Xenopus tropicalis: one gene and its partner. The protein of the gene in region 1 interacts with the protein of each later gene in a biochemical or structural test. Links are inferred from orthologs where the notes say so. Each region holds a gene or a part of one and is shown on either strand. Other genes may lie near its edges.

Evidence for each region.
Region 2: the proteins of rps6ka3 (region 1) and pea15 form a complex in vitro, tested with the Homo sapiens proteins (2 studies listed by BioGRID). The link is inferred for Xenopus tropicalis from reciprocal best matches to the Homo sapiens genes RPS6KA3 and PEA15.

What each region holds. Positions count from the first base shown.
Region 1 is NC_030678.2:43,794,518-43,797,570, reverse strand, and holds part of rps6ka3 (ribosomal protein S6 kinase alpha-3), read left to right. Parts: intron 1-330; coding exon 331-407; intron 408-603; coding exon 604-721; intron 722-1,262; coding exon 1,263-1,403; intron 1,404-2,141; coding exon 2,142-2,267; 3' UTR 2,268-3,053. UniProt on the Homo sapiens protein: Serine/threonine-protein kinase that acts downstream of ERK (MAPK1/ERK2 and MAPK3/ERK1) signaling and mediates mitogenic and stress-induced activation of the transcription factors CREB1, ETV1/ER81 and NR4A1/NUR77, regulates translation through RPS6 and EIF4B phosphorylation, and mediates cellular proliferation, survival, and differentiation by modulating mTOR signaling and repressing pro-apoptotic function of BAD and DAPK1.
Region 2 is NC_030684.2:138,138,460-138,142,387, forward strand, and holds the start of pea15 (astrocytic phosphoprotein PEA-15), read left to right. Parts: upstream 1-1,422; 5' UTR 1,423-1,640; intron 1,641-3,928. UniProt on the Homo sapiens protein: Blocks Ras-mediated inhibition of integrin activation and modulates the ERK MAP kinase cascade. Inhibits RPS6KA3 activities by retaining it in the cytoplasm. Inhibits both TNFRSF6- and TNFRSF1A-mediated CASP8 activity and apoptosis.

The DNA of each region.
Region 1 (3,053 bases):
CGTAAACTGTAACCATTTTGTCAGTAAAGTCTGTATTTGACAACAGGGTGGAAAATGTACACGATATTCTCACTGTCAAGCATCTTGCCTGCATTAAACAGAAATCCTTCCAGGCACAAAGTGATGTGAAATACTTCTTTCACATTTATCAGAAATTCTGTCACTAAACATACCATGAGCATGCCATAAACAGGACAAGTCATTTACAAGCACTAATAGCTTCTTGTAGCCAATGCTACATACCTCATCCATGAAATTTGATTGTTGAACTGTGAATAAATACTTTAAAATACTTAGGCTTAATTTTATATTCTTCTCTAATTTTTTCAGGTATTAAAGCGCCAAGGCTATGATGCAGCATGCGACATATGGAGTCTGGGTGTACTACTTTATACTATGCTGACAGGGTAAGTTAACATGATGCTTAAACCTTTCATCAGGGGCATATACAGAAATATACATAATAGACTTAACACTAGGTTATACTGATCAATGAGTGCAGGCTCTGCCCAGTTCAGTTACCTGCTCTTGAACCCATTAAAAATAAAATATAATGTGTGGTTACTGCTATTTGTAATACTGTATATTTTTCTCATATTTCAGATACACTCCTTTTGCAAATGGGCCAGATGATACACCAGAAGAAATCCTAGCAAGAATAGGAAGTGGAAAGTTCTCTCTAAGTGGTGGCTATTGGAATTCTGTTTCAGATATTGCCAAGGTCAGTTTGTGTGCAGATCAGTTACTCAGTATTCCTTATCTGCTGCTTTTCTGCAGTTTGTTGCATCATTATACAGCAATCTCCCAGACTTGCTTTGTCCCACTGAGTCAGCATTAAGATTGTTGCCACTCATAACAATAAGGTGCTTATTTGGCTGGTGCGCAGTGACTTCTGGTGCTGTTTGGATACTGGCTTCCATCTTTTAAAGTGGGGTAATTGCATTTGAAGTGCCATTCACTCAAATAATATTAATAGTATGAGGAGACAGAATTATTTCTGCTTTATAGTGGGATAGTCCTGATAAATAGGTATAATAGGGACAGCTGCATTTTAGTGTTTTTACACTATTTACAGATCAGTATATTGTGCCAAGCTCTGTTGTGTTGTGTTGGTGTTTTGTCCACTCTGGGTTCCCTGAGAGGGCAGTGGCTTCATATAAAGCGAGCTTCATATCCTATCTCATGATCAATTCTAAAGATGCTCATTTTGTTTAATAACTGTTTAGAAAGGCTGCTAAATATATTTTTATGCACTACCATAGGACCTAGTTTCAAAGATGCTTCATGTGGATCCACATCAAAGGTTAACTGCAGCCCAAGTACTCAAGCACCCCTGGATAGTACACTGTGACCAGCTGCCTCAGTTTCAGCTAAACAGACAAGATGCTCCACACCTAGTAAAGGTAATGTAGTGTATTTATTCTTCTAGACCAGCCTAAGGAAAGGTGGGGTGCCAAACCTTAGTTTCTAAGAAGCGGAAGAAAATGGCAGTGATGAGCTTTTATAGAAGTACCAAGGGCCAGTTCCGTTTTTAGCAAACCAGGGCACTGGCCTGGGGTTTTAGGCAGGAGATTCTAATCACTGGGAGGGGTGCCTAATATATTGGCATAATATATTTGTTTATATCATTAATGAATACTGCTATTTTAACTTTGCACTTGCAAAACTTGAACTTGCTTGTGGATACTTTCTATTAATCCCAGGGCAGCTGTCCAAGTGCATAGAATGAATCCATTATATACACATGGACAGTATCTGGCAATATGAACCATATAAAGAAAATCATAAAATAGTATTTAGCAGAATGTAATTTTTATTTCGCCGCATTTCAACATTTTGGGGATACAGAATTGTGTATTTATAAAGCATTACATTCTGTATTATGCCAACACTAAAATAAATGGCTACCCCTTTTGGAATAAAAAGTACAGCAAAATAGTAAATGTTTTCAGGGTAAATTACAGGGACCAGGGAAGAAGTGAAAGAGCACAGAAGCTGCACTGCCCCAGCCCCTTATGAATACAGTAATGCCGAACAGTTTTGGAGCACAGGGGCATTCGGAATTTGTTTAATCTAGGAAGGCAGTGTGCAAAAATTACATTTCTTAACTTGCCCTCACACCTTTGTGTTGTTTAATGCAGGGAGCCATGGCAGCAACTTACTCTGCTTTGAACCTTAATCCATTGTCTCCCGTTCTGGAACCCGTTGGTCGTTCAACTCTGGCTCAGAGGAGAGGTATAAAGAAGATCACCTCCACTGCCCTGTGAAAGTCAAGTCATCTGTAAGAGCAGCCTGGAGCTGAAGATTCACAGCACAAAAAAAATATTAAAGCCAACAGTGATAGCACATATCCTAAAGACACTCCGGCAAGCAAATGCTCACTGTCTCTGCCGGCTCTCATAATCAATGCTGCTGCTTCTGTCTGTTCTCAGTAGTTAAGTGATGGAAAAACCCATCCAACCATGCCAGGACTTTGTCATCTGTACAATGGAACTGTCCTTGGGTGAATCCAATAGACTCTTCACCTCTCAAACTGAAGAATACACTGAAAATGATACAAAACACAAAAATATCTCAACGGTGAACAGCATTATTTTTATATAAGTATTCGTAGTCCTCCAAAATAACGGGTTCTAGGTTCACTTTTTATTTGAGCACTTGCATACTTTCAGCTCTTTGTTCTTTAAAGCGATGGATAAAACATGCCACTCAGCCTTCTGCCGTTGCTTCTGGCATTGCTGGATAGATTCAACGTCTTGCCAATCTACCCTTCCCCACATTTTGTGTTTTTTATTCTTCTTTTTAGATCATCTTTGCCTTGTCTTAATACAGAATAAGATATAGCCATGGAATGATTGTGTGGACTTCTCTGTAAAATACAACTGTGGAATTTCTCATGAATGTATCACAACCTAGATGAGCAACAAGAACTGTTACTGTGGGATGACCGCCGTAATAGCTTTCAAACTGCAATAAGTTCAAGCATTATGCCTCCAGCAAGCAGTACTAGGTGTATCTCTGACTTTGTTCATTGTCTTTTTTCGGGATTGTAG
Region 2 (3,928 bases), on another chromosome or scaffold:
ACTGGGGCAGGGGCTGATGGGATAGGGACCTTAGATTGTAAGCTCACTGGGGCAGGGACTGATGGGAATGGGATAGGGACCTTAGATTGTAAGCTCACTGGGGCAGGGGCTGATGGGAATGTGATAGGGACCTTAGATTGTAAGCTCACTGGGGCAGGGACTGATGGGAATGGGATAGGGACCTTAGATTGTAAGCTCACTGGGGCAGGGACTGATGGGAATGTGATAGGGACCTTAGATTGTAAGCTCACTGGGATAGGGACCTTAGATTGTAAGCTCACTGGGGCAGGGACTGATGGGAATGTGATAGGGACCTTAGATTGTAAGCTCACTGGGGCAGGGACTGAAGGGAATGTGATAGGGACCTTAGATTGTAAGCTCACTGGGGCAGGGACTGATGGGAATGGGATAGGGACCTTACATTGTAAGCTCACTGGGGCAGGGACTGATGGGAATGTGATAGGGACCTTAGATTGTAAGTTCACTGGGGCAGGGACTGATGGGAATGTGATAGGGACCTTAGATTGTAAGCTCACTGGGGCAGGGGCTGATGGGAATGTGATAGGGACCTTAGATTGTAAGCTCACTGGGGCAGGGACTGATGGGAATGGGATAGGGACCTTAGATTGTAAGCTCACTGGGGCAGGGACTGATGGGAATGTGATAGGGACCTTAGATTGTAAGCTCACTGGGGCAGGGACTGATGGGAATGTGATAGGGACCTTAGATTGTAAGCTCACTGGGATAGGGACCTTAGATTGTAAGCTCACTGGGGCAGGGACTGATGGGAATGTGATAGGGACCTTAGATTGTAAGCTCACTGGGGCAGGGACTGATGGGAATGTGATAGGGACCTTAGATTGTAAGCTCACTGGGATAGGGACCTTAGATTGTAAGCTCACTGGGGCAGGGACTGATGGGAATGTGATAGGGACCTTAGATTGTAAGCTCACTGGGGCAGGGACTGATGGGAATGTGATAGGGACCTTAGATTGTAAGCTCACTGGGGCAGGGATAATGTATAATCAGTATGTGAATCTGTTGGATAGTAGTAGGTGCCGGCCCCTGAGCACTTACATGCCAGTAGCACACCGTGTATAGGCTGGAGATGGCCAGATGGCACCCAGTAACCCAGCAGCTGGCAGTAGAATATTCCCTACAGTGAAAGTTCCGACTCATGCAGCATTCCATCAATTTATTTACGCCGGACAAACCAAGCAAACACCCCCCCCCCTCCAAATTACACACTTCCTCTGTGTAGATGCTGCTATTCATTCTCTCCGTGTGCTGAATAATACAGAGCTCAGGGGCGCTCTCGCACACTCACACACTCTCTCGCACACTCGCACACACTCTCTCTCTGACATCACTCAGTACAAAGGGTGGAGTGAGAAAGCATTGGAATCAGTTGGGTCTGTGAAGGGGAAGGGAAATTCTCTGCTCATAGAGGGAAGCGGAGCCTGGCTGTCAGCTGAGTCACATCCACACAGGGACTAAGTGGCAGTCGGGCGCAAGGCACCCCATCCCTGGGCACTGAGTGGAGACAGTGGCACAGAAGGGGCTCTAGGGGGGCCACAGGAGCTTTGCCATCCATCTGGGGTACCCAGGACCAGAGTCTAAGGCTTGAGCTGAAGGATACGGTAAGACATGATGGGTGTGATTGTGTTTTTGGGGTGGGGGGGGGGGTGGATAGGATGTGGGACTCACAGGAAGGGAGTGGCTGCAGGGAGTAGTTGCTGTGCCCAACAGCTGGAAGTCCTTACAAATAGACCAGTTGCATGGCTGTCACTACTTATCCCGGGATGGGATTCCGGCAGCTGAAGTTTGTGCAGGGATAGTTTAGGGTAGGGCAGAAAGGGCATCTGGGGGGGCCCCACCAACAGCTGTATTCCACTCACTGCCCCTCCCTTACTCAGGGGCCCCAGACTCAGGAGCCCCACTCTCCCCATCCCTGCTTGCTGGATTGATGGAAAAGACTTTGTTGGACAGATCCTTAGAGTATGCAGCTGGGGTCCATGCCCACACCCATCCACATTCCTGCCCGTAGCTCCCCATTGGATCTGCCCATTCAGCGGGGCAGCACAGCCGGCATCCAGCAGGCACCGTGCCGGAATCGGCCAGCGGTTCTGGGTGGGATTTGGATCTTCAGAACTTCAGCTGCTTTTCCCCTGACTTGTGAATGACTTTAACCCCCCCCCCCCCAATGGCTAATTAGTTCCCAAACCCTTGCGGAAGTAGCAGCCCCCACCCCAGTAAGCCAGTAGCTGAAACAGTGCCGGAGGGGTGTGCCGGATAATGTTAAACCCCCAGATTATTGGCTCAGCCCCTGGCATTCAAAGGGTTAGTGCTGCATTTAACCCCCAGCTCCCTGGGCCAGTAAAACATAGTAAGGATATCCACCCTTCCCTTCACTGTGCCATCTCCGCCCGGTGGCAACGGTTCGATTCCCATTACATGGGGAAGGGGGTAACTAACCCCACATCTACCCCTTTTAAAGGGAAAGTTGCACTGCTGTACATCCAATACTGATAATTGTACTTCCCCCACCCTGACCTTATGGGAAGGCAGCATAGCTAAACCTGTAATACAGCATTAAGGGCATATAGGATAGGCTGCACGGCTGAACTACAACTCCCAGGCATTGGAATAGTACAGCGGGAGTTCAGCAATTACTGGGGGAATCTGGATACCCCCATTGAAAAAAGATATATGTATGAGATTAATGAGTGCATGTTATATACAGTTAATGCTACTACAATACACTAAATGGTGATATTAGGACTACATTTCCCAGCATCCCCAGCATTTATTCTGCTCTCATTGCTGTGCATTTACCCAGACGTTTTTCAGGGGTCGCGTCAAAATTCCGTAAATTCCCAAAAACTTAAATCAGTGAAAAACGCATTCAGGGACGTAAAATGGGGGTTCTACTGTACATAGAATCGATATTCCTTACGGCACGTGGAGGAACGTAAACTCTTCTGTCAAAAAACCTCTGCCTGCCCTCTCCTGGCGGCGTTCTAGCCCGCGATACGCGAAGGCAGCGCATTGATTATCTCTATCCCCTGCGGCCTCAGGCAGTGGGTATTAGGAAACCGTGTAATGCCGAGCGACAGGAAATCAAACGCTCCGACTGAGCGCAAGAGCACTGCTAGGGGCCACTATAATGCAGCAGGAATGTAGGGAAGGGGAAAGTGTTGGAAGGGTTACTGCCTGCTCTGCTCTCATTCCCCTACAGAAATAGGGGTTGGTAGCACTAGGTAGGTACCTAATATATAGGGGCAGAGACAGGGGAAAGTGTTGGAAGGGTTACTGCCTGCTCTGCTCTCATTCCCCTACAGAAATAGGGGTTGGTAGCACTAGGTAGGTACCTAATATATAGGGGCAGAGACAGGGGAAAGTGTTGGAAGGGTTACTGCCTGCCCTGCTCTCATTTCCCTACAGAAATAGGGGTTGGTAGCACTAGGTAGGTACCTAATATATAGGGGCAGAGACAGGGGAAAGTGTTGGAAGGGTTACTGCCTGCCCTGCTATCTGTGAATTATACTTATTAGTTCTTCCTATACTACAGGTGGGAGGAGCGGACCCCCTTATCCCACCCAAGTGATAAACATGTTCTCATTTAAAGCTCCCATAACAGCAATGGAATAGATAGAATCCCCAATCAGACGTGTCCCCGGCTAAGCTGCTCCCCCACCCCCCATAACATCTGCTTTATCTGCAGCTCTCGGGGTCAGTCCGTGCCTCGGCGCAGCCTGTGGGATATTTCCCTACGTTCCAGTGCATTTAGTACAATTCCCCAGTAGTCGGAACTGGCGGCGATTACAGTTAATATTGCCCTAATCCACTCCGGCCTCATCCCTGTGTATTAATCAAATGGAGAATAAATTCCCCTATCAGGATAATCCCCTTGATTGAAAAGAATTGA